Linked DNA regions of Neurospora crassa OR74A. The protein of the gene in region 4 interacts with the protein of the main gene of each other region in a pairwise test. Links are inferred from orthologs where the notes say so. Each region holds a gene or a part of one and is shown on either strand. Other genes may lie near its edges.

Evidence for each region.
Region 1: the proteins of NCU08218 (region 4) and gnb-1 interact in binary tests that used the Saccharomyces cerevisiae proteins (3 or more experiments, as listed by UniProt). The link is inferred for Neurospora crassa OR74A from reciprocal best matches to the Saccharomyces cerevisiae genes AKR1 and STE4.
Region 2: the proteins of NCU08218 (region 4) and NCU02371 interact in binary tests that used the Saccharomyces cerevisiae proteins (3 or more experiments, as listed by UniProt). The link is inferred for Neurospora crassa OR74A from reciprocal best matches to the Saccharomyces cerevisiae genes AKR1 and RBD2.
Region 3: the proteins of NCU08218 (region 4) and NCU04316 interact in binary tests that used the Saccharomyces cerevisiae proteins (3 or more experiments, as listed by UniProt). The link is inferred for Neurospora crassa OR74A from reciprocal best matches to the Saccharomyces cerevisiae genes AKR1 and KEX1.
Region 5: the proteins of NCU08218 (region 4) and NCU03818 interact in a protein complementation assay, tested with the Saccharomyces cerevisiae proteins (2 studies listed by BioGRID). The link is inferred for Neurospora crassa OR74A from reciprocal best matches to the Saccharomyces cerevisiae genes AKR1 and NEO1.
Region 6: the proteins of NCU08218 (region 4) and gng-1 interact in a two-hybrid assay, tested with the Saccharomyces cerevisiae proteins (2 studies listed by BioGRID). The link is inferred for Neurospora crassa OR74A from reciprocal best matches to the Saccharomyces cerevisiae genes AKR1 and STE18.

The regions. Positions count from the first base shown.
Region 1 is NC_026503.1:3,862,712-3,867,564, forward strand, and holds the start of gnb-1 (guanine nucleotide-binding protein beta subunit), read left to right. Parts: upstream 1-1,729; 5' UTR 1,730-2,572; coding exon 2,573-2,699; intron 2,700-2,805; coding exon 2,806-3,524; intron 3,525-3,604; coding exon 3,605-3,814; intron 3,815-3,881; coding exon 3,882-3,902; 3' UTR 3,903-4,853. UniProt on the Saccharomyces cerevisiae protein: Implicated in the a- and alpha-factor response pathway. The beta and gamma chains of the putative yeast mating response pathway G protein play a positive role in initiation of the mating response.
Region 2 is NC_026507.1:2,720,911-2,725,970, forward strand, and holds NCU02371 (rhomboid protein 2), read right to left. Parts: upstream 3,175-5,060; 5' UTR 2,632-3,174; coding exon 2,421-2,631; intron 2,163-2,420; coding exon 2,025-2,162; intron 1,956-2,024; coding exon 1,686-1,955; intron 1,599-1,685; coding exon 1,387-1,598; 3' UTR 976-1,386; downstream 1-975. Other genes in the region: NCU02372 (N(6)-adenine-specific DNA methyltransferase 2), read left to right, coding at 1-80, 182-802; NCU02370 (hypothetical protein), read right to left, coding at 4,493-4,723. UniProt on the Saccharomyces cerevisiae protein: Probable rhomboid-type serine protease that catalyzes intramembrane proteolysis.
Region 3 is NC_026505.1:5,592,297-5,597,277, forward strand, and holds NCU04316 (pheromone processing carboxypeptidase Kex1), read right to left. Parts: upstream 3,001-4,981; 5' UTR 2,764-3,000; coding exon 2,576-2,763; intron 2,506-2,575; coding exon 2,145-2,505; intron 2,091-2,144; coding exon 660-2,090; 3' UTR 441-659; downstream 1-440. Other genes in the region: NCU04317 (DUF431 domain-containing protein), read left to right, coding at 4,079-4,397, 4,464-4,481, 4,541-4,651, 4,784-4,902, 4,964-4,981.
Region 4 is NC_026503.1:4,667,980-4,672,830, reverse strand, and holds NCU08218 (palmitoyltransferase AKR1), read right to left. Parts: upstream 3,297-4,851; 5' UTR 2,515-3,296; coding exon 2,269-2,514; intron 2,204-2,268; coding exon 1,047-2,203; intron 994-1,046; coding exon 881-993; intron 832-880; coding exon 158-831; 3' UTR 21-157; downstream 1-20. Other genes in the region: NCU08217 (SRP receptor beta subunit), read left to right, coding at 3,593-4,851. UniProt on the Saccharomyces cerevisiae protein: Palmitoyltransferase specific for casein kinase 1. Palmitoylates isoforms YCK1 and YCK2 at both C-terminal cysteine residues, which is required for their proper plasma membrane localization.
Region 5 is NC_026505.1:2,510,304-2,515,311, forward strand, and holds the start of NCU03818 (phospholipid-translocating P-type ATPase), read right to left. Parts: upstream 3,356-5,008; 5' UTR 2,904-3,355; coding exon 1-2,903. Other genes in the region: NCU03819 (COPII coat assembly protein sec-16, variant 1), read left to right, coding at 4,590-5,008. UniProt on the Saccharomyces cerevisiae protein: Flippase that catalyzes the hydrolysis of ATP coupled to the transport of lysophosphatidylserine, phosphatidylethanolamine, and phosphatidylserine from the lumenal to the cytosolic leaflet of the Golgi apparatus membrane and ensures the maintenance of asymmetric distribution of phospholipids.
Region 6 is NC_026503.1:2,378,192-2,382,533, forward strand, and holds gng-1 (guanine nucleotide-binding protein subunit gamma), read left to right. Parts: upstream 1-1,182; 5' UTR 1,183-1,362; intron 1,363-1,677; 5' UTR 1,678-1,873; coding exon 1,874-2,034; intron 2,035-2,129; coding exon 2,130-2,250; 3' UTR 2,251-2,938; downstream 2,939-4,342. Other genes in the region: NCU00042 (selenoprotein domain-containing protein), read left to right, coding at 3,383-3,487, 3,729-4,342. UniProt on the Saccharomyces cerevisiae protein: Implicated in the pheromone A- and alpha-factor response pathway. The beta and gamma chains of the putative yeast mating response pathway G protein play a positive role in initiation of the mating response.

The DNA.
Region 1 (4,853 bases), about 810 kb from region 4:
CGCACAGGAGGAGCTAACCGCAAATTGGCCCTGACTACTGAACAGCTTCAGTCCTGTTTGGGTATGGTTGGTCGCGCCATAACGCTGCAGACAAGGGGGCAGGTCCTTGTCCCTAGTGAAGACCCGGTCGGCTGGAGCCTCCTTTTCTCTTCCTGGCAGGTTGCCCCTGGTGCCTTGCGCCTTCGCCTTTGGACGGAGTGCCTGTTTGATGAGACCTTGAAATCTCTTGGAGCTTGACAGCTCACATGGACGGCCAGACAGCTCACCGGATTCCCAACTGTATCAATGTCGAATTCGTTGTAGCTCCGTGAGGCAAGGGAAAATCTCAGCGTGGCCGTGGTGGTATTGTATCGAAGTGGGTTTACTAATCAAAGCGATTGAATGATACCGTGCGAGCGTGGGTGCCTGAAATTTGTAAAGTCTGGTTGATTTCAATCGAGTTCATTGCGCGAGCGAACATTTACGACCCCAAGTCCGTCCGGTGGAGCCAGTCCGTGCACATGCATTTGCGTGGGCCGTCTCCGCTCTCCATCGGCGCAAAGTGCAATTCGTCCGCGGGGCCTTGCTGTCCGCCCGCTTACACGTCCCAAGACCAGGGCACTCACTGCAAAGAAGCAGGGTGACCAAGTCCACAGAGAACCCACAGTCTCTTTAGCTTCCACCTCCTGGCTTTTCTTGGTGGAGGTCTCGTCAGTCGGCGGGATATTCTTTGCATCCACTCTGCGAGAAGTCGACATGCGCCCATCAACCACGGGGGAGGAGCTGCACCCGAGGAATGGGGCGCAACGGAGCCTTCAATTTCAGAGATCCATGACTCCGGTGCCTTCGGCCAGGCTTGTTGAAGAGCTTGGCAAGATTTAACTCGTTTTCTTTCTTCCTGTTCCATCGGGGGTGCGGTGCGGTGCAGTCCGGTGCGGCGTGGCTAGTGCGAGGTGTCCATGTCCGCCGTTGAAATGTTGAAGATCAGAATCAGAGGGCAAGAAGTCGAAATAACTGCCCCAGCTTCAAGGTTCACAAATCCCTTTACTCCCTTCTCAAAAGTCCCGTCTTGTTCCATCATCCAAGCCCTTCGGCCCGCCATCCAGCCCGCTGTCCGCCGACCGGGCTCTCCTGTGTTATGGATAAAAAATCGTGAATTGGGCGATCTCTGGGGGTGGCAGGGCCTTCATACCCAAGATGGCAGCTTGTACAAGAAATAACAAGTTTGATCATTCTCAAACAGAAGATTTCTGTAAAACCACTAGCGCCTTGGCTGTACCGCGCTGCTCTTTTACTACTATGTATGTACTATGTAGGTGTAAACTAGGTATATTCATGCAGACGTGTGTAGTGTAGTGTGCTCGCTCCATTGGGGAGGTTTGCTGCACGCATCATCCATCCCGTCCATTGCCTGGGAGACCCGACTGGACACCAACGAACCTGGAAAAACCGAATCCGTTCCTCTGTACCTAGTTGTACACCACAACCTCAATCTGCACTCGCTTCCGCTTCCATTGACACCCGGCTCTTGGGGCTTTTCACTTCCACACTGCTTCACAGGACGACGCTTGACACGGCCTCCATTCCTTCCACCTGCCCCCAAGCGTAGACGTACCCGGACACTAGTACAGGCTAGGTAGTACAGGTAGACCCAGTGCAGGCCTCCCGTCACTCTGTGAGGAGGTTCCGCTCTGCCCCTACAGTAGAGTACAGTAGCCCAGTGCAGTGCACGCAGCGACCCAGCAAAGGCTCCATCGTGCTACCCCCCGACCGGGCCCCTCCCCCCGGGCCCATACCCAATCTGGCACCAGGTAATAATCGCAAGGAAGAGGAACTCTGGCCAGCCTCTTCGTTCGCCAGTTCGATTCGGCCGCCCGCCCACTCGCAGAAGCGAAATCGATCCCCAGTCCTTCTTTTTCCCCTTCTTTCTGTTCTTCACCACCGAACTCCTGTCGATTAGCGACAGCCTCTCCAACTTGCTTTTACGACCTGACAGTCACTCGCGTCGGTCGCGTCGCTCGAGACTCTCTTGTCCATCACTGCCCTGCCACCCTCTCTCGAAAGCTGACGCCACGCACGCCTGCCTTTAGTCTCCATACTCTAGGTTGTCAGGGTCGCTCTTCGCCTGGTCAATATCCGCCATCCACTCATTCGTTCGACAAGAGTCTGTCCGTGGACAAGCAAGAGGCTTTTCCCCCCCAATCCCTCTCCACCACTCTCCTCATTTTTTCCAACAGCAGTCATTTCGTTCAGAGCAGGATCGGGACCTGCCTCGCCTGCCTAGCTGTTTGAATTGGCCCACCACCGCATCGCCCGACCCCTGGAGCTAGCAATTCCTCCTCCACCGGCGCCCCGTACCAGCACCACTGCTTTGCACCATTCTCAACATCCACACTCCAGCAACCGACTCCGACTTGCTGCATCTCTGAAGATCCGACGTCCCTAGAGTCCAACCTTTGTCATCGTCATTCTCCCTGTCTCAACCAGTCACAACAACATCACTTCGGAGTAGTCCGTCCCTCATACGAGTTCGTCGCCAATTGTGATTACGAATTGAACCAACACACCTCAAGAAAAAAAAAAAAAGAGAAAGATGGACTCCCGATCAAGCGATGTGTCGCCAGAGGCGATGCAGGCACGAATTCAACAAGCGCGTCGCGAGGCCGAGAATCTCAAGGACAGAATCAGGCTGAAGAAGGAAGGGCTCGCCGATACTTCCCGTGAGTCCCCTTGTCGGCAGGTCGCGAACTGCGCCGTTGTCCGCCCATGCATGCCGTCGTCAACGGCGGATTGACCGCTGCATAGTGTTGCTGACATGATGTGTAGTCTACGAGGTCGCGCAACAGGCCCATGAGCCACTTCCGAAGAACAACATGATGAAAACAAAGAAGACGCTGAAGGGCCATCTGGCCAAGATTTATGCGATGCACTGGTCTACCGACCGGAGGCATCTTGTCTCAGCATCTCAGGACGGCAAGCTCATCATCTGGGACGCTTATACGACCAACAAAGTTCACGCCATTCCCCTACGATCGTCTTGGGTTATGACTTGCGCCTATGCCCCGAGCGGCAACTTCGTTGCCTGCGGTGGTCTTGACAACATTTGCTCTATTTACAACCTGAACTCGAACCGTGATGGCCCAACTCGTGTCTACCGGGAGCTTTCAGGTCATGCGGGCTATCTCTCTTGCTGCCGTTTCATCAACGACCGCAGCATCCTCACCTCCTCCGGCGATATGACATGCATGAAGTGGGATATCGAGACAGGAACAAAGGTTGTTGAGTTCGCCGACCATTTGGGCGACGTCATGAGCATCAGCTTGAACCCCACAAACCAGAATACCTTTGTGTCAGGTGCTTGCGATTCTTTCGCTAAGCTTTGGGATATCCGCGCTGGCAAGGCCGTACAAACATTCGCTGGCCACGAGTCCGATATCAACGCCATCCAGTTTTTCCCCGATGGCCACTCTTTCGTAACGGGTTCCGATGACGCTACTTGCAGACTTTTCGATATCCGCGCAGACAGAGAGTTGAACTGCTATCGCGTGAGTAACCTGTGGATTATTCTCCTCTCGGTTCTTGATTTTTTTTTCTCTTGGTGGCTTTAGAGCTAACATTTGGGTAGTCCGAATCTATTCTTTGCGGCATTACCTCTGTCGCGACATCAGTCTCTGGACGTTTGCTCTTTGCCGGTTACGATGACTTTGAATGCAAGGTCTGGGATCTTACTCGCGCTGAAAAGGTTGGCTCTCTCGTCGGTCATGAAAACCGTGTCAGCTGTCTGGGCGTTTCCAACGATGGAATAAGTTTGTGCACAGGCTCTTGGGACTCCTTGGTAAGTTTCTACCCGCAACATCAGATCGATATGGTACAGGCCGCAGATTAGACTAACTCCCTCACAGCTCAAGGTCTGGGCATATTAGGCGCATGTGTGATACTGATACGACCGGCACCCTCTGGATACCCGACCACGACGCGTCACTTTGCCAAGCCTATCGAGTGCTTTTTTCTATTTGTTCTATTCAACCTGGTAACGCCTCTTGATCCTTGCGATTTGGCGTAGACAGGACGAAGTCACGACATATTTTTCGACCCAACAATCTCGGCTCCCCGGGCTTGGACCATCATCAACTGGCCTTGCTCCCCGGTTGGAATCCTTTTTAGCTTCTATAGCGGTTTTTCCGATACTCCACTCGATTTGCTGCGTCATATTTTCAGCGGGTTCAGTTCGCAAGGTGGGCGGCAGCGATATCCTGGCTTTGTTCAGCTCTCCGTACGCCAACCCGCCTCTCCCCTCCAGAAAACGTCCCCCCGGATAATATGATCCGACACGTTCATCAACTTCGGGTCGCGTAATTCCCCGGGCATTATTACAGGGACGTCTGTACCAGGTTTTTTGGACCCGGTTTGGCTGGAGCAGAACGTCCAATAATCATCAAGGTCTGGCTCGACGGGTCGTATCATATTCCACATGAGTGGTTGCCAGTGTCTCTCACAGGGGTTGTGTCTTGAACCAGTTTACCGGATACCCTCTCTATACGTATTTATCCACATCTTTGCGCGCATTTTCTCAGCGTTTGGTCTTTCTCTAGTCTATTACCGGCGGGGTGGGTAGGAAACCGTCAGGGTGTCTATTTTCACGTGTGTTGATAAAGTAGGCCGGGAATGCAAAACGGTCCCTTTGTCTTGTGTTTTTCGCGAGAAAGAGGCGGGGATCGGCTCACGAGTGGCGACGGTAAACAGCAGTTGCGGTAAAGGCTTTGGGGGAGGTACCATACCCTTTTTCTATTTCCCCGATTTTTCGTTAGGCAAAGGGTGTATATCGTGGGGATCTTACCTATTCTGTCATCTTATCTTTCTTCATCTGCCCTTTT
Region 2 (5,060 bases), on a different chromosome or scaffold from region 4:
AGGCTGAGGAGAGGCATGCTTTGAACGTCAAGCTGTCTATGGATGCTTTCACCGAGGATTGGAATGAAAGCCAGTTCTGGGTGAGTGATACCATTTTCATTTAATTTTTTTTCACACATGGCTTATAAAGAGACGTTCAACCGACGAAGACGAACCAACTGACATGAGAATCACTCAACAGTACTCCGATGAAACAGCTACCTTTCTCGCCAAACAACTCCTCGCCGGCGCCACTCCAACCACCTCCATCGCCGTCGTCTCCGCCCCCTCCGTCTTCGTTCAGCTCAAGAACCTTTTGAACAGCGACGCCTACAAAGACAAGCCCAAGCCCAAACTCACCTTACTCGAGCACGACAACCGCTTCGCCGTCTTTGCTGACGAATTCGTCTTTTACGATTTCGCCCAGCCGCTCAAGCTTCCAAGCCACCTCAAGGGCGCCTTTGACCGCGTCATTGTGGATCCTCCCTTTTTGAGCGAGGATTGCCAGACCAAGGCTGCGTTGACGGTAAGGTGGATGCTCAAATCGGAGGAGAAGGGCGAAAAGCCCAGAATCATTGCTTGCACGGGCGAGCGCATGGAGACGCTGGTCACGGAGAAGCTGTATAAGAGCTACGGCCTGAGGACTACTACGTTTGAGCCTAAGCACGCGAGGGGGTTGAGCAATGAGTTTTATTGCTATGCTAATTTTGAGGTGAAGCCGGAGGAGGGGGCGGGGGCTGAGACGCCAGAGGGGAAGGGTTGGACGTTGAGGGAGTTGGGGTGGAAGGAAAAGGAGGGTGCTGCTACTGCTGCTGCTGCTTGATTGAGGCTGTGGGCTAGGCTAGGCTGATCATTGGGGGGGGAAGGAGGTTGAAATTGGGGATAGGAAGGGAATTTTTGGGCCATTATTTGGGACGGCGCTACTACCGTACAGGGGAATAAGTATACTGATGAATAGAAATTTCTTTGTTGTAAGCGTGAAAAGGGTTGGAAAAGCAAAGTGATAACATATTATTTCTTACATCTGGATAACTCGCGACCTTTGCCATAATGACTCGAGCTTCTTTATGACGCTACGAAACTTTGAAGACCATTGAGACCCCGTACTCATCATCCATGGACGTGTTCAAGCTGAATGATTGGCACTCATCAAATCTAATAAGACTCGACTTGCAGGCTTCAAATCCCAAGAGGAAATTCGATTCATATCCAGAGAACGCCATGCAACTACCATCTCCATTTTCCCCCGGCCCTGTATTTAGTCGTACAGCATCATACATTAACAGTAAAATTCCTTTCTATATCCATTATTCATGACACGCATGCCTCGTATGCACCAATTCAAACTTCCATGCTCTTCTACTCATGCACGTAATGTACGCCATATTTCGGGAACCCGTATTTCTTTCAAGGTCCCAATCGCTGGCCACCAGAGACCCCGGAAAACGGAATGCCAGCCTCGGCTGATGAGGCAGAGGAAGGGAGGACACCGAATCTGCCAAAAGTCTTTTGATCCACGCTGACGTAGTGAGGCAGTCTACCCAAGAGGTTGAGCTTTCCTTCGATGAACCGCAACGCCCACTCAGGAGGGGCGAGGAACTTGAGGTATCCTAGGCCGACTGTTTATCATCCATGTTAGCAAATATAGCTTTCCCCCCCCTCAACATGAACGTAGGTAGGGGAGCAGTTGGGATTGAAACACGTACACCCATAACCGACAAGCAGACCGGCCAAGTGCCCGAGGAAGCTCGAACTCGGCAGCAACGCAGCAGTAACCACCACCAACAACAAAGGAGTGATCCACGTAGGAATGTTGTAGGTGCTGATGGTGAAGTAGGGGTTGGTCTTGTAGGTGCGAATAGCTTCCATGCCCAGCAGCAGGAACACCCACATGCTGGCTCCCATGACTGGCGTGTTGGCGTGAAGGATGAACCTTTCAACGAAGACGTAGATGAGGCCCGGTATCGTTGCGAATGCTAGAGGAGAACAAACGTGTGAGTTGTGGCCCCGGGTAATATCAAGGAGATGAGAGGGGGGTGTCTTACGGCCAAAGAAGAGCGCCACAGAGGTTAAAGTACCATGTTCATGCTCGAACCGCTCGAGAAGAGGTGTAAAGGCGACAATGTTGAGTATTGTGTGGAAGATGTTTAGGTGGATGAAGGGGAATGTGTTGATGCGATATACTGTTGCCAAGAGTGTTAGCAGGTGTGCTCGGGCAGGTCTCATGTCACAGGCCAGCGTTGAGGCATGACCCATTTCAGAATGTGAAGCCTCCTGCCATCCCGCAGGACTGCTGTCTGGTATCTGCGGTGTCCGCTACCAGCGCGTGCTCTGCGTCCAATTGAGGATTCCCTCCCATCCCATTCCCTTCAGCGAGGTCCTCCACTTTGGCCACTCCCTGGCATGACCATACCGAAGAACAAAAACCGAATAGAACCTACATGTCGCAATACCAATCTCGTCCGGTATCAACGCGCCCCACGTCTTGACGTCCCAGTTCCATGACTTGCCGACCAACGTCAGAACCCATGTCAGGACAATGATTAGCACCGTGGCTCTTGTGAAAAGTGGCAGCTTAAGGAGATATGCACGCGTGCGCTGGGTATTGAACGTCACGGCAGCCCCGGAGGCGGGCAGTGTCTGGGCTGCCATTATGCGAATTCGTGTGTGTGTGTGAGGTCGTGATCCGGGTGGTAGATTGGTCCGCGGTCGGTCTGCGTTCAGGAAGAACCCAGATAAGATGCGCCGTCGATGGAGGAGAGGGTGTCTCCACGTCCAATGTTAAACTTGCGAGCGCCCGTTGTATGCGAACCCGATCGTCTCTGAATGTCATACAGCGTCTCGAGGACTCGGGCCGTTGATGGATAATGGACAATTGGCGTTGTTGTCCTGTCGAACGAGGAAGGCGGAGGGGGGGTCGTGGGCGTAGCAGGTATGTATGACCGCCTTGTCGCAAGCACCGACGTTTAGTGCTTCCTGATCGGTCTTATGGCTGCAAGGTACGTAACCTGGGTAGATGATGATCCAACGTTTTCAGAGAAAAAAAAAAAAAATCAAAAAAAAAAATCGGCCCCTCGTCGAATGTCGGTCAGGAGTAAGGTCCGACCCCAAGCTTGTGTAGTCGCGTTGACTAAAGCTGACAGGCGGGCTCTCGGGGTTCCGTCGCGGCCGTGGGGAGCGTTGGTCAGCCCTGGCCCCGTCCGTGTTGGATAAGTCGCTGGTCGGAAGTGGAGTGGAGGGGTCTACCATAACCGGCAGTTCTTCACCGTCCATAATCTTATGCAGTGATCCAGTCCAAATTATTCTTCCTTTCAAAGGTATTGAACTTGAGACATCAAATGACCTGCCCAGCTAGCAGTGTTGATTTGTACACAGACTGGAAGTAATACTGGGTGTATCTGAAGCACCGTACTTCGGCAGAGCTTCAACCCGAACCACCCGTACGGGAGGGACATGGATAGGGTAAACATACTATTATAAAGTACATAGGTACATATCTATACATTGAGCAATGTAGAGAGTCGAGGCGGGAGTGTCAGTTACCATTCAGTATTCCACTCTCAGTTCCGCCGTGCCTTCTGGTTTTGAAGTACATTATCACCGCGTAAACTGCAGTGTCTCTTTTGGCAGGTTGGTGTCTACGTGTGGAAGGTGTTCCCATCGATAGACTTTTTGGGTCTTTATCTTTGGAAAACCAAGGGGCATTTTTTTGTATGTCCAGGGTCTAGCTAGCAATCAAAGCCCAAAAAATAAATTGAAAACGAGATCTATCTCACATACATCAGTGAAATTACATGTTGAAGCCAACAGAAGGAGGAAAAAAATGGTTCAAAAGGCGAAAAAATTCGACAACAGTAGGGTTCGAACCTACGCGGGCGAACCCAACAGATAGCTGAATAAAGGCGGTATTCAAGTCTGTCGCCTTAACCACTCGGCCATGTTGTCATGGTTATGATTACTTACAGTTACAATGATAACGCTAGAAACAGCCAGGCATCGGAATGCGCGTTTCAGTATGAACGGCCTCTGTTGGATAGAAATTGTACAACAGCCAGCCATATTTAAAACCGGTTGACTTCATTTATCAGGTTATCAATCTTGTGCAGCATATCATTCTTCTTTGGTCGCATGTTCTATGCTTTTACGGGTATTCCATGCCTATCTTCCGCGGCCTTGAGGTTTGCGCCTGACTCTACTCTCCAACTATGGTCGTAGAACCGACTGCGGGTGATCGTGTGGGTGAACAGCTCCTGCTTCAACCAATCAGTCTCTCCCCAGTCGTGTCATGTCGATAGACAGGTTGACGTGGAAAGGATTCGCGTGGCCTCTCAAAGATTACGTCCGTCGAAGCCTTCAGTTCTCGTCTTGAACCGATGGACTGCTCGGCTCGATGCCCGCTATCGAGAGACGACCTCCCATCTTCGGATCTTCCTGCAATCACGCAAGAAATAACCTCCAACTCCCCTGAACCTCCGTGATCCCTTCCCTTCAAAACTTGCGTCGCTCGTCCTCATCACTTCCTCTCCGCCCCAGACTCGACTATCCTCCTCTGCTCTTCGGGAGAGAAAAGCGCAGTACCCTGCTGTAGCGCGTTCACGAGCAGGTGGATCGCATCGTTTTTGAAGTCGTCAGCCGTGCGCACCTTGTCCAGGTCTTCGGCAAACTCCTTGGTTGCTCGCTGGAGGTAGTAGGAAGTGAACTCGGCAGAAACCTCTTGCTGGCTCATTTGCTTGCTGTCAGACATGTTGAAGGATCTCTTTGTAAGGATGATTGGTTGGTTGGTGGTTGTGGAAGTAGAAATGAGAGGACGAAAAGTCGGGACGTTTAAAATAGGCCAAGCTCAAGATGTTGTTTCAAAGCTCTGAAGTCTGTTGCGAAAGCGCTTGGTAATTCGTGCTGATGTTATTAAAGGAGAAAAATTCGGTGGGCACTGTCCGGTGAACCCAAGGTGAAGTTTCACCGTGCAACTGCCCCACTTTTGACTTCAAGCTGCTCGACGACAAGACGGGATTGACAACTCAACACCAGGACCAAACAAGATCACAGGGCAAAGATTTGGAGGAAGAACATTGCAGGAGGAG
Region 3 (4,981 bases), on a different chromosome or scaffold from region 4:
GAGGGAAAAGAAAAGAACAGTTGGATGCCAAAAGAGAAAGTGGAACGAACCAGTTCAGCGCCAAATTATCACCAGCATGAAAGTAAGGCCTGACACACGACGATTTCGCAACAAGATACCCGGCTATGAAATTTGCTTTCTAGATTCTTCAGGATAGATGTTCGTCCTGGGGTTTTTTTTTTCTTTTTTTTTTTTTTTTCTTACGTTAGTTATGTTACGATAGTCTTCACATGGATGCTTTTCGGGTCAAATCTGATGCACAAAAAAGTGTTCTTCACCGTGTATGGTCCCTTCTGATTAATGGGGCATAGGATTTGCGAACATAGGAAAAGGGGTGTTGATGTTTTTACGTCAATTTGGAATGGTTCATTGTGCAGATCAATCTCAAGATAAGATGGTACTCAAATTGCCTAAAGCCTTAACATCACGATACGTGACTTGTTATTTTATGTAATGTGTAAGTATTGCATGGCGCGTTGAGGTTAGATGCCTCTGTATATAGTACCGTTGGTCCTGTGCACAAATGTGTGATGTTTTCTGTATCATAAAATACCCAAGCCAAAACCCGTACCAGCTTGCCTGCCAAGGATATCAGAAACGCCGATAGTCTATAAGAATAACCAAGTCAACATTTCACCCAAGAGCTACCACTTAACTAATCACGATCTCCCCCCAGGCTGCCTACTAGAACTACCCTTCCCCGGTTTTTGCTCCTCTTCATCATCACTAGCACCACCAATGCTATACCTACTATCCGCATGCGGGTCCTCCGGCTTGCTCAAGTGCAAATCATCCAACTCGCTCTCGTCAAAATCCTGCGCTTCAACATCCCTCCTCCCGCTTCTCTTGTTCCTAAAACCTGCCAATCCTTGACCTCTCGTCCTATCTCCACCACCACTAAGGTTCCCACGAGGTCCCGGGTTGTTAGAAATGCTATGTCTCTCGCCCGTAGCAACACCCATATACCCCTGCCCAGCAGTCTTTCTCCTTTCTTTCCAGACAAACCATCCCCACACGCCCGCAGCAACAATGACAATCACCAGAACCAGCTCGCCTGACTTGCGGTAGGCTTCCCACTTGGCCATCTCCAACTTGGCCTTCTCGGCCGCTTGGTTGCTCGTGCTATTCCCTGCTGCGCCGCCGACCGTCGTTTCGGGTAACTTCTCCCCGTCGAGCCTCGAGTCCGTAGGCTGTCCGCCAATGCTACTGATATCCACGCCCATGAACCGATCCAGCATGTCGCGCGTGCGGCGGGGGTAATCGAAGGGGACCATGTGGCTGGAGTTGTAAAAGAGCACGTAGGTGAGGTTGCGCGCTTGTTGCCAGAAGCCGGCCGGTTCGCCTTCGAAGGTCCAGTCGCGCCGCGGCGCCCAGGTTCCCGGGGTGAGTTCGAAGCCCTTGCCGCCGTTCCATTCCATGTTGGAGATCAAGGCTTCGGTGCCCAGGTGGTTGCAGATGAGGTCTTCGGCGCCGGAGAAGAGCAGGATGGGAACGCCGGCGGAGAGGATGTCGGGAAGCAAGGTGATGGACGGCTTGGTCTTGGGGTTAAAGTTCATGCCTACCTGGCCGTTGCATTCAGTCCAGCCGGTAGACTTGTTATCGTTGATGTTGAGGGCCTTGATGACTTCCTTCTTGCGGAGGTAGGGGGTTACGCTCTTGAGGTCGGGGGGCCAGGCCATGCCGCATGAGGGGTAGTCGTCCTTCAGGCGGACGTCGTACATGTTGTAGCATTGGTTCTTGCCGCTGGCGCCGACGCCGCCAGCAGTCAGTTGGAGCATGTCTTGCAAAATAGCTTCGCATTCGGGGTAGTCGATCTTGTCGGGCTTGACGGCGATTTCCTTTTGGCAGATACGCTGTTGGATTTCGAGCTTGTTGGCGAGGTCGGTACCCTTCTTGACGATGTCCTTCTCGTAGGCAAACTGGAGGTAGGCGTCGTATTGCTCTTTGGGGGAAACCCAGCCGTTGCCGATGAGGAGGCCCGAGAGGTTCCATTTGCGATTGACGGGACCAGCGTTCTTGTTACGTTCGAGAATAGCTTGGGCGATGTAGGGAATGTGCTGACCGGCGTAAGACTCTCCGGCAATGTAAAGCTGAGAAATCGGTTAGACAGAACGAATCGAAGAGGTTCAGAGTGTGGCACCTACATCGTCATGCTCGTACTCTGGGAACAGAGCGAACCACCTCTCCAAAAAGGTAACAAAGTTGGCGGCCATCTCGGTCAACTCGTGGATATAGGCGTTGGTGTCGACATAACTGAAGCCAGTGCCGACGGGGTTGTCGACGAACAAGACGTTGGCGAACTCGTTCCATGCGCCATCGTTGTATACCAAGGTGTTTTCGTCCTTCAGTCTGTAGGGACCAATCTCCATCAATGCGCCATCCTCGGAACTGCAACCAGGACCACCATTTAGCCAGATGACGGTTCGTTGTTTGTTGGCGATATGTTTGTTCTGGAAGTGCCAGAAGAACAGGTTGCCGTTGTTATCAGGGGTGACCTCGATATGTCTAGTTGTGAGAACATGTCAGCCTTGGTGTTCCCCAACATATTGGATTCGCGCAGCAACAGTGAACTTACCCGGCATGCATCTTCACCAGAGGACCATCTGGTGCGCCTGGCAGATCATGGACAAAGTAGTCGGCGGAGCCAGCAGCGGCGACGAAGCTGGATGTCCATGACAGCGTGAATGCCGCGATTAGAGTCGACAGTCGTTTCCAGCTAGCCATAGACCGGCCAGCATTGGTGGTAGTGGTGGTGGCGGCCATGATCACCAACTGGACTCAAGTCGCTGGGTTCAGTTGTGGTGGGTGGGATGGAGGAGGAGACAATTGTCGTAAGTTTGGCTACCTATCACCACCAACCACATTCATGGGGGAGGATAGAAGAAGGCCGACGACAACGGCAAAAGTTGTAGGAACTCTGAAAAGGTCGAGATGTTGCTCCGAGACAGCATCCATGGATGAAACGGTAAAGAGGGAATCTGTCCTTGGGGCGGACGGACAATAGTGTACAACGTGGGATGAATGCCACTGCGGCACGGATAGTGGCGTTCCATTTCAGCTAGACCTCACAGGGGGCAATCTCATTACAAGTAAGGGACCCTGTTAGTGGTATTGGGCGATCCCGGTATGCTAGCTTAACACATAGCTGGGGGGCCTGGTCTTCTCTTCCATGCAGTCACTCAGTCCATGCGCCTCGTGGATGGACGCGCAAGCCAGTTCCATTCTCCTTCCTTCGATTATCCAACCTAAGCAATGTCGATATCGAAAGATAATACTCTTAATGTCCTTGTCTGCTATATTCTAATGCCTCAAGAACTTATTGTATAGTTATGGAATCGGGGACAGAGTTCTAATTACACACCAACTTACTCGCTATGAGAGCTTCCAAGGTTGTTTCCAGATCTTCAGGCACCGCATCTGGACGTGAATAAACGGAGCCTTATTCAGCCACTAACATGACTTGACAGAGTGTAAACCTCTTCGACAACTTTACTCCCTGATGGTTGACAAAGAGCAGCCCTAGAGGAAAACATCAGACGAAAGTTTCTAAATCCGGATATCGGCAAGAACTGAACAGCTGCTCATAAAATCGGCCCAGACCTGAACAACCGAGCGATTGTCCGCGAGCACGACTCATCTCGGCAGTCAAGCGTGAGCTCCTCGTATATACGATTACAAGTTCATCCACACTCTCCCCAGGTGTATGAGACAACAATTAGACATAACAATCAGACATGTACATGATCCCTCAGTTCGGACAGCCCCTACCGCCGGGATCTCTGCCGGAATGATGATATAAGACATTGCGGGGCCGGCTTCCGAGAACGGGCAAGGCAACCCGGGCCCGGATCGCCGAACTGAATCACCGTTACGGCATGCCGTCCATCTTGGCACGGAGAACCCCACCAAGCCATCAGAAAGCTCCACCAAGAAAATGTTAGTCTTGGCCTTGTGAGATCGTCCAAACACTTACACACAAACTTAACCCTCACTTTGACCTTTTTGATATCCTTGAATATCTTGGTCCCAGCACAACTTTTGAGCCGGTTTTTGAATTCCTACTCCAGCTACCGTAGTAATGGCCGCCACCAAGAAGACCTACATCGTCGAGCACCTCGATGAGGAGCTGGGCCCCTGGTCCGAGCTCGAGTACCTCGCTATCGCCAAGGAATCGCAAGAGATCGGTTCCGAGTTCCATCTGACTTCCCTGCCCCAGGGCTTCAAGGTCCCCGAGGCCCTGGCCGCTGTGCCGGCCTTCAAGGCTGAGAACCGCGGTGTTGAGGAGATCTATGCTGCTGACAAGAGCAGGGTCTGCCTGCTGGATCCCGCGGCCAAGAAGGACTTGAGCCCTGAGGATGGCGACACCTTTGATGTTTTCCTGTTTGGCGGTATTTTGGGTATGTCTTTCCTGGAAAATGGAAAGTGTTTGATGAGTGATTAATACTGACTGCATGGTGTCATAGGTGACGACCCCCCGAGAGGTAAGCTCAGTCCCGGATATCGATCTCTCAGTGAGGTCTGGTTACTAACAAGCAAACAGACAGAACCTCTGAGCTCCGCAAGAAGGGCTTCGAGGGTCGCCGTCTCGGCCCCGTGCAGATGACCACTGACACTGCTGTCCGTGTCACTCGTCTTGTTGTTGAGGGCAAGAGTAAGTTACTCTCAGATGGCTTCCTCGTCATTGGATTTCCTCACCTTCAGCTTTTTGTCCTCTCCACTGTTGCTCTTCAGCTTTTGAGACACACTCCGTTCCCGTTGCTGAATTGTCACTAACATTTCCCAGCTCCCGTCGACAAGATTCCCTACGTCGACCACCCCGAGCTCAAGTTCAGCGAGCACGAGAGCACACAGATGCCCTTCCGCTATGTCACTGACAAAGAGGGCAAGCCAATCATGCCTGCGGTAAGTCCTTGCAGAGAAGTGCTTAACGGATGAAGGAATCATACAACTAACTGTTGAACAGGGCATGGTTGAGTTGATC
Region 4 (4,851 bases):
GCTGTAGCCAGACATTCTACCGTTACCTTAAAAATCATATAGAAGCCGCGCTCCAATTAGAGATACTCGTCATCATTAGTCTACGAGTCGACCATGTCATTACCCAAATACCCCTAAAGCTCCAGACCCCCGTGCATCATGGTACACAACTTCCCATCTACACCTCCTCACCAGCAACGCTCTCATACCCCCCACCTCTCCTCCTCCCTCCGCCACCAGATGTCATGACCCCCGGACTCTCATACATATCCGTATAGTTCACCGGCACACCGCCCAACACCGCCGCGCCATTCTCATGCTTCCCAAACATGGGGCTCGGATCACACCAAAAGTCCTTACAATTCGTGACGCACCCTCTGCTATAGGGGTTGCCGCGCTTGTTCCTCTTGGATCCCTTGCCCGTAGTCGCACCCCGACCTGCCGCAGTTTCAATAAAGGCGTCGACGCCGAGGAGCCGAGACCATTGCTTGATGAAGCCTTGCTTGTGGTTGTGTCCGTGTGCGTGGCGGCCACCGTGACGAGCGCCGCCTGCAGCGGGGGATGGACCGGGGGCGGGAAGAGAGGGTGGGTTGAGGGGGGCGCCGGTGGAGGTGAAGGAGCTGTTGAGGGAGGTGGCCGAGTAATTGTCGATGCCGTGCATGTTTTCGTACGTGGTCATCGCGCTAGAAACTTGGACGAACTGGACAAAGAGGAGCATGGAGACCCAGGTGAGTTGAAGCGAGGCCCAGATGGCAGTTAGGAGGCTGTAGGTATCGGCGTTGACGATGCGGCAGAGCGAGGGGGCAAGGATGTTGCACTCGTCGGAGGCGGTCTCGGAGAGGGTGGAAAGGTCTGCTTGCGTTAGCAATTGGTCTGTAGGAGGGCGATGGGACAGACTCACATCTGTAGGTCAACCAGTCATAGGTGACAACACTCAGAGTAAGGTTGATGAGGTAGAAAAAGAAATGACGGTGGTTGTTGACGCCGATGCAGTTGTACACCCAAGGGCAGTGACTATTCCCCGTTAGCTTTCCCATTCTGACCTAGTTTTGATTCGATATACTCACTGATCATGCTTCGCCACGCAGCGTTGACACCTACGGCAATGCTTGCTCCTCAAAGGCGTGCGGATCATGCAGGTAACGCAAAAGTTGGACTCGTCAAACTTCCATAGGCTGATAAGCTCATCGATGACGGCCTTTTGCTCAGCGACACCTCCCATCTTGGGCACGAACCCAGGATCATCAACCATACACCGGATGTAGAACCAGATAGTCATGGAGATGAAGAAGGCAAACAGCAAGTTGGGGATGACTGCCGAATCCTGTCCAAACATTGTGCTGCCAAAGATGTGTAGCAGCCAGTTCATGATGCACAAGAACAGCGACCCAGCAAAGATACCAGCCATCCAAGGCGTCTTCTGCAGTTGCCTCATGTCTGGCGGGGCATAAGCGATGACCTGCTGTGCCACCCACTGAACGGCATAGCCCGCCAAGACGCCCAACGGGATTCCAACGAACACAGGCATGCCAGCCATGACAACCATCGTCGCCCACACCATCACAAACGGCCACAGAAACGTAAACTTGGTCATGAAGGACCTCCTGTCCTGAAGGAGATACGACGCGCCAGGCCAGCTGGGGACGATGGCGTTGCCATGCTCGTCGTAACCGCACTCGTCCAGCGCCTTTTGCCAGGCGGCAACCGTGTTGAGCTCCTGGGCCGTAATGGCGGGGGTCTTGCCGTTGGCTGTCTTTGCGAACCGGTCGGCGCCGTACTCAATCAGCTTCTGGATGCAACCCGGGCTTCCCTTGACCAAGGCCCAGTGTAGTGCCGTGAACCCCTGCTCGTCCTTGGCGTGGACACTGGCTCCCCAGCGGAGAAAGACATCGACGCAAGCGGGGAAGCCCTTGTATGCGGACCACATGAGAGCTGTATGACCGTAGGCATCTTCGACGTCAACGGGGATGCCTTGGTGGAGGAGGAGGACGATGAGCAGGACGTTGCCGTTGAAGGTGCTGATGTGTAGTGTGTTGTACCCCTGAGAATCGGTGATCAAGGGATCGGCGCCGTGCTGGAGCAGCAGGTGGACGGTGTAGTAGTGGCATCGTTGGGCGGCCCATTGTAGAGGCGTTGCGACGCTCTCTCCTCCCTTCTTGTTGATCTCGGCGCCCTTGTCGATGAGGAACTTGCACATGGCATACTGGTTGTTGATGGCGGCCCACTGCGAGAAGGAGAGCAGGGTCAGCTGGGTGTCGAAGTAGGAGTGTAGGAGAGGATTGGACCTACATGTAGAGGCGTGATGCCCTCGTCATCCGAGTACGTGGCATCGTATTCGCCGGCCGCAAAGAGCTTCTCCATGCCGGTAATGTCGCCTACCCTTGCCATTTGCATGATATCGTTATGTGCTTCGCTGGGGAGGCTACCGAGCTCGACCTCGCTGTTCAGCTTGGGAGTTGCTGTGTCGGATTTCATGGGCGGTTGAGCGGGGGCGGCATGGCCGGCATGGGCGTCGGCCCCGTCGTGGTGCACCATTGTGGGATCGCGGTGGTGAAATATAATCGTTCGATCAGTCGGCGAAGAAGGTTTACGGTATTCGGAGGTCGAGGATCAGGATCGTAGTGGTAGTGGTAGTAGTCGGAGTGTGTCGAGTTGTCGTGTCTATCATGTGAGGGCACAGATGGCGACGGTACGAGTCGGCGTGGAGGGGGAGACCACCACCGGGGCGCAGCAACTGGAGACGAGGAGCGACGAGTCGCGACAAGGAAAAAAAGACGGGAATAAAATATTTCGAAGCTCGCAGTAACTCTAGGGACAAGGCCGGAAGTCGAAATACACATTAACAAAGATCAACAAGAAAAGAGACCGTCGGCGATGGATGGGAATGGCTGATGATTCCGCCGTGTCCGAGTCGCCAACTTGAGAAGTGGAAGTGAATCGAAGACGGGAACTTTGGTGTTGGACTTTGACTTGGCTGTGGCTTCCGGGCATGGAGTTTGAACTGATGGTGGACTGTCGTCAATACCCGTTGCCTGTTAGTGTCAACATCCGGTATCGCCGTGTCTGCGGTGGCTGGTTGATGTCTCCGCTAACATGCAGCTTCGGTTGTGTGCTGCAAGGGTCTTCCTCCGGGGGATTGAACTGCCCGAGGTGCCGCGGCGGAGAGAGACCAGTTCAGGGTCCAGGGACGTCTTGGGTTTATCGGGCAGCCCTTGGCTATCTGTCTCACACTGCCACGGACCAGAGATGTCGATAAAGACATTGACACATGCGATAGGTAGACTGGTAGAAAGATCGCATCCCCTCGTCTTTCCAATGTTCTCCGAGTCTTCGTTGTTTTCGGCGGGTGTAGGTTGCGGGTTCGGTGACAGCTAGTGTGCCCTGTGGTCGGGGTGCACGGACACTGCCACGCCCACTGTGCTGATTCGTCCCCAGCCAACCCTGAAGCCCGGGCCCGCAACCGCAACCGCACGCAACGGGCCAGAGAGCCGCGCGGTGTCTCTGTGAGTGTGACAGGTCCAGCTCAGGGCCCGCCCTTTGGTGGGGCGCCAGGACAGGACCCCAATCTTCTGTGGAGACCGTCGTCTGCCGGGAACTTGGTCGTTTATCTCGAATGACGATGGTGTCATTTTCGGCACCAAAACACCCCGAGTCGAGACCTCTTGGCCCCCCCCTGCAACGCGCATCTCAACAACCGACGACGCGTCTCAACAAACCAAACCAAAAAAAGGGGGATGTCACTATAACATCTACGAATCTCCTTGTTACATTTCAACCGAAGTTAAACAGACAAGAAGCAAGTGATCGATCGAAACCCCCGCGCAACGTGTCCGAAGTAGCGCAAGCTTCTACCGCAACCATGGACACGACAATAGAAACCATAACCGCAACCGTCGCGGCAGCATCCAGCACGCCCTCCTCCACCTCGAACATCAAAGAGCTCATCAAAGACTTGCTCATCGCCTCCCTCCAACCCAACAAGACCGTCATCATCACCGGTCTCCTCATCGTCTTGCTCTTCCCCATCTTCCTCCACCAAGTCCTCCACGGCAACGAATCCGGCTCTTCCTCCTCCAAGAACTCCTCACTCCCCTCGATCCTACTCGCTGGTCCTTCCGGCGCCGGCAAGACCGCCCTCCTGACCTTGTTCGAGAAGCGCGCCGGCCGCTCCACCTCTACCTCAACCGACGAAAAGACCGAGCCCGCCAAGACACACACCTCCCAAACCCCCGTCTCCATCAAACTCAACGCCGCCGCTCCCTTCTCCTCCTCCTCCTCCTCCTCCTCCTCTGTTTCCTCTCCCTCCGAGAACCAACCGAAGCGAAACTTTCTCCTCATCGACACCCCAGGCCACCCCAAACTCCGCTCCACCGCGCTCTCCCACCTCCTCCCTCTCGACCCCAAAACCGGCCGTCCCCTTCCGCCTTCCAAATCCCAACCCATCAAAGGCGTCATCTTCCTCCTCGACGCATCCACCCTCTCCCCCTCCTCTCCCGATTCCAGTCTCAGCCAAGCCGCCACCTACCTGTACGACCTCCTTTTATCTCTCCAACACCGCTACAGCCGCTACACGAAAGGAAGCAAGCACCCGCCTTCGATCCCCGTGCTCATCGCTGCGAATAAACTGGACCTTTTCACGGCGTTGCCTGCGACTTTGGTGAAGAAGGAACTGGAAGCGGAGCTGGGGCGGATTAGAGTCAGTAGGAGTAAGGGATTGTTGGATTCGGGCGTCAAGGAGGATGATGTCACAGCGGGGGAGAAGGAGGAAGGCGATGATTGGTTGGGGGAGTATGGGAGCGAGAGGTTTGAGTTTCGGCAGATGGTGGAGTTTGATATTGAGGTGGAGGTGATGGGGGGGAGTGTGCTGGGTAA
Region 5 (5,008 bases), on a different chromosome or scaffold from region 4:
CGAGCGGTTTCGACCTTGTCGCCTGTAAGCATCCAGATTTTAATGCCGGCGTTTCGAAGAAGTTCTAGAGAAGGTTTGACGTCCTTTTGCAGCTTATCTTCGACGCCCGTCACACCAAGCAGTTCCAGGTTATGCTCGAGATACTGCGAGACGACAGCCTGCATGTTGGCTTCGCGGCCGCTGATGGCGAGCGAGGCTTCGTGGTGCTTGGCCGAGAACTCCTGGTATTCCTTCAGAGACAGACGCTTCCTGCCGACCACGAGCGTGCGGAGACCTTCGCGCGCCATGTTGGCCGTCTCCTCATCGAGCCAGTCGTTGGCAGCGACGATGGAGCTCATGACAGTGTCCGCACCCTTTTGGTAGAACCAAATCTCGCTGCTGCCGAGGCTGGGGTTCCCGGGCTGGAGCTTTTCGTAGAACTGGACAATGATGCCCATGCGCTTGCCCTCCGAAGTGAAGGGGAAAATGTCGAGAATACGAACCTTGACCACTGGCCGGCCGGTTTCGGCGGATTCGAGAACGATGTTCTTGCGATCTCGGTGAGCCAGACGCAAGCCTACGGACTCGGTCCATTTTACAATGGCAATCTCGTCAGGCGAGCTGGCTTGGTATGAGTTGACGGTGTGACCGTTCTCGTCTTCTTCCGAAGTTGGGGTAACGTTGTGGCAGAGGGCAAGAGCTAGTACGACATCACGGACACGCGACCCAATCTCTCGGCGTGTCCTCGTGGCACCAACATTGGCGGCCGAGTATGTTGAAGACGGGGTTGCCAAAGCCAAGCTTGCGGAAGAGGCCGATGAGCTCAGATTAAACCCCTGCTTCACGTAGGTTGCAACCTCATCCATTGCTTCGTTGGCATACGAGACAGTGCCGACGTGGATCTTTTTCATTTCCATTTCGTTTTGGGTTAGAGTGCCCGTCTTGTCACTCAGTAGATACTCTATCCGTCCCAGATCCTCCGGAATCGTGCTGGTTCGCACGACAGCCCCGGGAATCCCAGGATCTCTTTGGATAAACCATGAGTAGACAGACTTGCCGAGATCCAGGTTGACACGGAGACTAATGGGGACGATGGTGGAGAATAACACTAAGAATCTCATGATCTTCACGTACCAGATGTTTCCCTTGGCCGTGCTGAAGCCTTCCAGCGCAACAAGAACGATAGACAGGAAGAGCGTCAGGAAGCAAAGGATTTTGGTGAGTGAGTTGATCTCATACTCTAGAAGGCCGGTCTTTGATCGCGAAGGTGATGTAGACAGGGCTGACCGGGTTTGAGGTCCGGTATAAACAATCACTGCGAGGGTTGTCGCATTCGATGCGATGACCGTATTCGCCCAGGCCGTGTTGTCGATCGAGAGAGGCGCTGCCTTGACATCGTCGCCCTCCCTAGGGTTGTAGGCGGCACCGCTCATGACATCTTGTCGCGAAGGAAGAAGTTCCAATGTTCCGACGAACTCATTGACCCTTTTGTCAGGTTTTCCGGCCGTGACACGGAGACGAACTAGTTCCTCAGTGCTAAGGTTTTGAGATAACGGGGACGCCAACCGCAGCTTCCAATCAGTTTCACCGTCCAGTTGGTCGGTCCGAATAAAAGTCTCGCCGCTAGAGCTTCCCTCGGCGCCATTATTGTTGCTCTCCTTGGACGTTTTCGCATTCTTGGAACTGCCCTCTCCAACATCGTCATCATCGACATGGTCCAGGAGCAGCATCTCCTCCTTCGCGGGTACTTCTTGCTCTTCGGTCTCCTTGTTGGCAGCTGATTCGTGTGCCAAGCACTTGAGAATGATAACATCTGCCGGAACGCGATGGCCCTTGGTAAGCTTCAAGACGTCACCGACCTTGAGGTCCCGCGACTTTTTGCTGACTTCGGATAGGTAGGATGCCGGCAATTCGCGAAGACCCCGACCTTCAGTCTGTTCTTCCTCCTCTTGGATATCCGATAGCCGATCATTTTCCTGCTCAATGCCAAGACGTTTAGAGCCCGTTCGTGTATGAGACGATTTCATCTTCCTCCTAGGCCGGTTGATGCCTAGACTAGCGCCTGGATCGTCGAACTGCAGAACGGTGTACTCTTCGGAATTCGCCTCGTTGTCCCTTCTTCTCCGTTCGATATCGTCGTAAGCCTCCTTTGCTAGGGTGATGAACAAGACAAATGCCAAGGGTGCAACGTAGGTGGAGAGATAGCCGATTCGTAGTGCGGGGATGGCCTGGGAGAGGGCGACCAGGAGGAAGTACATGTTGAAGAAGAAGGAGAACTCGTTGTACAAAGTGACTGGCAGAAAACTCCATGCTGTGTACTTTGCGTTGGATATGATGTTGGGTGGGAAGCGGGTAGACTGGGATGAGCCAACTGCAACTAATCGTGACGATGAGGGGTCGTCTTCCTCCTGTTCCTGCTCGTCGTTATGGTTGCTCTGGTCGCCCGACATGAAGCCTGGTAGCTTCATCGAGATGTTTCGAAGACCGTCACCGGCGAAAGACCTCCGTCGTCTTCCACTGCTGGTGCGTATTCGGCCGCCACCACCATGTTCGCTGAGGAGGCCGGCATCCTCGTCGTGGGTGGCACTGCCAACCGAGTGGCGATCATGGCGGAGCAGAGCGTCGGCGTCGTCGTCGTCGTTTCCGTCCCGGCTACGGCCTAGCTCGCCATATCCATTGCGTTTGGCGCCACGGCGTAGACTCCCCATGCGAAGATTGCGAAGTGCTATACTTGTTGTTGGGGGAGGAGGGCGTTGTTCGGACGAGTTGCGGCTGCGGTGTTGCCCCAAGGACTGGTGGTGGTTATTGGGGTCGGTTGCCTGGGGGTCGAGTTCTTCGAGGTCTATCTCCAAGTCGGAGTCGGATTCATCGACGACGTGGGAATCGGGCGGCTTGGAGAGATGGTATGTGTCTGAAGAAGGCATTCCGCATTGGGCGAAGCCCTTTTCCTCCACAGCTAGATAGCGTATGCTCTTGAGTCGTGTTGTCCTTTTTTGTTTTTTTTTTGTCTGATCTGTCGCGGCCTAACTGTAGCTAAGGGTAGCTTGGGCTGTGGTCGCGACTGCGTTCGGATCTGTGGTTGGTTTGTTTGGGTTGAGTTAGGGGTCACTTGGGAGGGTCCTCGTGGTGTCGAGATCAACTCCTCCTTCCCATAGTGGCCGTGGTTGGTAGTCTAGGTGCGTCTGTCTTGCTGCTGGGTGCTACGTGCTTCTGGGGTCGGGTGTGCTGCGCCTGCAAGGGGACGGGAGTCGAGATAGTGTCAAGTTACTCGATAGAAAATAGTCCAGTCATGGTAGTGATTCGTACAATGTTTTCATCAAGTCGTCCGCGGGCACATCAACTAGGTAGAGGTAGGGAACTGAGAGATGACGATGGCATGTGACGGAAAGAAAGTCACAAACGGGGACTCGGAACGGAAACTAACAACTTGAACTGAAAGTGGTGGTAAAGTGGCAGTGATCGGACTGTGTGCGCGGCCTGCTCTTCATACCGTACCTCGTACCTCCACTCTAGAGGTACCTACCTACCCATCGATGACAGGCTCCCTCCTGGTGCGTCCAAGTTCGTGCAGTGGCTGTGATGATGCTGGAGGAGGGACTGAGCGCGCTTATCTGTTAAAGCAGTACCTACCGGCATCCATCGAATTCACCTAAATAACTGAGTATATTCTCAACACTGGGACAGGCCGATAAGCTAAGTAGGTATACTGCTTCCCCATCCATGTAACATGGAAGGACAGCTGTTGTAACGTTTTTTGTTAGAGATCCCCGCGCATTCCCCGCCATCCATATATCAGACCGCCTAAATGTACCACGTAGCGTAGTGTACTATTGTGCAGACAGGGCAGCAGTCAACCTTCTGCGACCTCTGTGTCTTGATTTCCGCGGATTTTCCCAGGAATCTTCCGACGGCCGCTCCCGGTGCGCCTCCATCGTCACAGTCTTGGATCTTGACAAGTTGCAACAACTGAACTTGGCCTTCCATTGAGGTTCTGCAGTCGCGCAGTCTCATACTATGATCCTTTCCCACGTGTGATCGACCATTCCATCCCAACGTTTCCCAGATCTGTAGTAACAAACAGGACGACAGCATTGCCCTCTTCCTTGTCATTGACGAAATCCAGCCGGCGTTAGACTTTCTTCCTCATGTTGACAGCCATGATCAGCTGCTGAACCTACTTGTACAAGTTAGTCGTCCCTTTTGCTTGCCCCTATTCCCATTCCCATTCGACAATTGCGCACTCTGGGCCTGCTGAACAGGGGTTGTCTTGCCCGCAGTCCTCTGAGGCTCCTCCTCAACAGGGCAGCCCAGTTGCCCAGGTCCGCTCCCCATTCTCAATCCCGTCGCCAATCGCCGTTCGGTTCGTTACGCGATCAAGCGATCCCGTCGAGTTTCGCCCCATCCTGGACTTCCCACTTCTACTGTTTGTAGCTAGCTCCTCCTGGCCAACAACAAATACTACCCTTTCTCCATCTTCAAATATTCCCACCTTCTCTCCCCTTCTTCATGTACTAATCTTACTTATTATATACAGTAATTCAATATTTTTTTTGTGTTTTTGCGCGCCCATACAGCGTCCCCAGCTGTATCGCGCCATCTAATCGCCCGCCATGGCTTCATGGAACCCGGCATTCATGCCAGAATCGGCCGCCGACCTCCCGGCCCCCTTGCCGACTGATAACACCGTCGCCGACTCAACAGATCATGCGAACGGTGTAGCCCAAGATGGCTCCGACTTCTGGGGAATTGATGGAGGAGAAGAGGACGTGCCCGCCCAGAATGGCGCCTCTGACTCCTGGTTTCCCGACTATGGAACAGGCAGTCATACGACACTACCCGCGACTGATGCGCAAGCTACGAGCCAAATAACCAGTGAAACTGATACCGACACCCCCGATACCGCTACCGAACAGACCGAGACCGCACATGTAACTACGGAAGATGCTGAAGCTGTCGAGCCAGCTCCCACTCAGACGGACGAAGCTCCCGAGCCCATCGTAGAGAACGCGCAAGCTACCGAGGCCGTCCC
Region 6 (4,342 bases), about 2.3 Mb from region 4:
TGCACTTTGAGGCTTAGTTGGAACTTGGAACAGAATCGTGGTGCGAACTTCGGTCGAGTATTGAGAAGATAATCCCCAGTAAGAACATATATCCTCCTAAAAGGCATATGATATCGCTGCTTGAACTGCTAGAGTGGCTGCAAACTCTTCTCCTGTAGCTGAATGCACACCAGCAACTGCATAGGACTTCACGGTCTGTGATTACTGTAGTGTACATACATACATACATACATACATGCAGAAACAGGAGGCTCTCCTCTGTACCCTCGTCGTCCCACCCAGAGCGTTCAAGCTCGCGTCCATCATCGGTCGGAGCAAGTGGGCACCCACCCAATGGCGCCATTCCCAATCCCGTCCGGAGATGCCTGCTGAGCCGGGGTGGTTCCGCTAGACCATCAAAGGGGGGACGATAAAGTGGGGGCGGAACCCGTCGTGTTCTGACTGCCCTGCATTTGCCATTCTTGCTGCAGCTTTCATGCACAGCAGCACCGACAGATCCAAAAAAGGTCCCGTCGGTTGGTCGGACTAGTCCTGTCCCTGCCTATCCAGCGGCGGTGGCAGCAGTCCATCTTCAACGGCCTCCATCGTGCTTTTCTTTTCCTAGATCTTGACCTCCAGTCCCGCTTCCAGAAGCTTGCAACAATGTCAATCACAATGGCACGGATGGGGCAGGACAATAGGGAGGCCGGCACCTCATCCTGAATGCGGAGCTCGTGGTGATACTTGCTATCTTGTCTTGATACTAACTCGTCTGCACCCATTCCGTCTACGGTCGTAGTTAGTGTCGAGTTAATCTAACCAAACCCTGCTAAGCGACCCCCTGGTCCGTCTCATTTGCACTTGGCCCTTTTTTTCCTCGTCGCCCTGGGTTGCTTTGGCTGCCCAGAAGAGGAGTGCAGCACCGAAAGCGACCAGCATTGCAGCAGTGCAAGTGCAGGTAAAAGCGCAGCACTGCAGCAGGCCAAGCAGGGGGAGACTGGGGCGTCCATGCCTGCTGGGGAATTGCACGGACTGCACCCGCCTACCGAACCGTTCCCTGCTGCGCTGCTACTGGTTCTACAGGCTGCGCACTGACCCCCGTCGCGGTCCGGGGCCCGCCAGTGGCACTGAAGGAATGAAGGAACTTCCATATGGGCGCCCCTTCTCTTCCCAAGACTTGCTATTAGGAATCGTCAATCGTGTGTCGGTCCTAAGCATTCCTGGCATCGTTGTCCGCAATTCCTCCCTCTCTTCAATCCTCGGGACAGTCAATGATCCATTTGCGCCTTCTCCGACCCTTCGCTTAACCCAACTATCGACTGTCGACATCATCACCTTTTCCCCGTTGCGTGCCAGGAGGTTGCCCTTTACCAAGAGTATCTGGTATGTATTCGCGATTTCTGATCGTTCCCTCTGCTTGCCGCAATTTTTCCAATTGCTCCATCGCGGCCGTCGCCCTTCATTTTTCACGTCTGGCACCTCCGTCCGTCCCCTTCGTGGCCGCCTAATCGCCAGCCGTCAGTAGCAAGGACAGAGGACCGCCGGGGGAGAAGTCCGAACTCCAACTCTTTTTCCATCTCGCCCTCACCCCCCCGACACGAGCAAGCATCAGCGCGACCCCGACCACCGACTGGAGTGAATGAATGGCGATTGACGACGACATCTGAACAACACGGCTGACACGACATGTCTAAACAGCTTAATTCCTATCGTTAAAGACCCACAGCACCACCGACCCCGAGTTCTACTTGCGACCCTTCCTCACCACCAAGCCTGTCCGAACTACTAGTTGTCGGCTTTTGTCGCAGCACCATTGTCGCCCACGTCCCCGACGACACTCCAACACTCCTTTAATTCCCACCCTGGAGTCGAGGCTTCGATAATATCAGCCAAAATGCCTCAGTACGCCTCTCGCGATGTCGGCGACCCGTCGCAAATCAAGAAGAACAAGCAAAGCATGGCCGATCTAAAACTCCGTCGATTGACCGAACTCAACAACCGACTACGTGAGGACTTGGAAAGGGAGAGGATTCCGGTTAGCCAGGCAGCCAAGAGGTGAGAACTGCCATTCGTTGTTGCTCGGGTCGTTCGGCAACATGTGCCGGTCGTGGTTCAATGAGGCTGACAGTCGTTTCTTTTCCCCTATATAGCATAATCACCTACTGCAACAGCACACGAGACTACATGGTACCAAGTGTTTGGGGGCCGGTGCCCAAGTCCGAAGACCCGTATTTGCCACAACAGAGCAGCGGGTGCTGCGTCGTCATGTAAATTGCCAACTGCGAAAAGCTACGACATCAATGCGGCGACAAAAGGGGAGGACATTCGAGTCACTCTGTTTAGCACGGGCGATCAGTTCAGCGTTTCGAAACAGCGATTCCTACGAAAGTCTTTTGGAGGGGCGGACACCGTCGTTTGCAAGCGGGATTGGATCCGGACGGAGTTGGTTTGGAAGGCCGAGAACGTTATCGGAGATTATGAGCGATCAGATGTGCATCATCGGGACGGAAAGAAGTCGGCATTGTTTGCGGTTCGTCCTTTTCGCCGCCATTATCACGATACGTCAAACCGGGGAGAAAGGTTTTGAGGAGTGAAGACACGACGGCTGGCCTGACCATAATGCTTATTCAAATACCCCCCATCCGTTACTTCGGATCTACGGCAGGCAGGCTCGGCAGACTCTTCAGCATGTAATACCTTTTTATTTTTCTATATTTTCTTTCCCTTTTTTTTGCTTCTTATTCCCCGGTTGTACTCTTTTATACTCGGCCTTCTCGATTCCCTTTTTTGTCTTTTACATGTGTATATCCTGCTTCATGAAGCGCTTTTCGCGCGGCTTCCTCTTCTGGGTCTGGAAAGGAAGGGGCTTACGACATGATAAGTGAGGCAAATGAAATGCACTAGACTATCGATTTTACTCAAACTGATGATATTTGAATGAATGCATCAAAATAGCTCCAGTTTCCTCATCAACGGAATTTGATATCCTATGTGATGGATTGCTGCAGTTGGGTCGAGAGATAGACATTGAAAAATGTCTCTATCAGTGCACTTAACGGTTGGTAAATCCTCACATAGTAGTAATCCATTTTGGGGATCTCGCACTGGTTGTTGATGAACTCATGTTTAGTTCGGAGGCGTGATGACGCACAGGCGATTCGGGGTGCGGAACCCATCCGATGGAGCTGAGTAGGTATGTACAGCTCCAGGATTTAGCCGTTTCTCGTGTGGACTTCCCTCCAAATCACATGAACTCCCACTTACACGCCGCCACCTAAAACCGACCAGAGTGAGAAAAACACGCAAAGTCCATAACAATCAAGAGGCCTCCATCTACGCGAATATATATACATGTACATCACTCTCATTCTTGACATAGCATTTCCCAGTACACACAAGGATAATGGACCAATCTCCTACTACTACCAGTGCCTCGACTCCAACTTTACTTCCTCGTGTTACCATCCGCTTTTGTACGCAGTGCAAGTGGATGCTTAGGGCAGCATATGTGAGTAGAAAGTTTCCTGAAGATATCAAGTACTTTTCAGACGCTTCGAGTCTCGCCACTGTCATCTATTCACCGTCTCGGAAGAGGGTTTCTGAATTCCCTAACCCCCACCTCACCCTCCCACTTCACCTATACCATTCATCATCCACACTTTCACCAATCGCGTTCCCGTTAAATACACATGAATCACATGAACCTCAGCTACATCTCCAAAAATTCTAACCCCCCTTCTCAAATACAGTACGCCCAAGAACTCCTCTCAACCTTCTCCACTTCTCTCGGCGAGGTCGCTCTCCAGCCCTCAACAGGCGGCACTTTTATCGTCGACATCACTTACGCCGCCGCCGCCGCCGCCGCTGCTACCACCGCCACCACTCTGGACAACCGAGCTTCTACCACCACTCCCGAAATACAGCAAAAGACAATCTGGGATCGCAAAACAGACGGCGGCTTCCCCGAAACCAAGGAGCTCAAGAGGCGGGTGAGAGACGTGATTCAACCCGAGAGAAATCTGGGGCATGTTGATCGGGATTATCATTCCAAGAAGCAACAGGAGCAGCAGCCGGCTACGGAAGAAGCTACTATGGAAGCTATAACAGGAACCAACAAGTCTACGGAGGCTGATGCTGCCCCCCAGCAGCAAAGTACCTCTAACAACAAGACAGAGTGTGCCGATTGCGATAACTGGATGACTGAGGAGACTTACAAGGGAGGGGATTTTGAAGGAGGACATGCTGGTGGGAGTGGGGCGAGGCAAAGCGGAGAGCAGAGTAGTAAGACGACCGGGGAAGGAACTGGAACTGATACGAGGGGAGGTAGCGGAGAAAAGAAGACGGCTGATTCTAGCTGGATGAC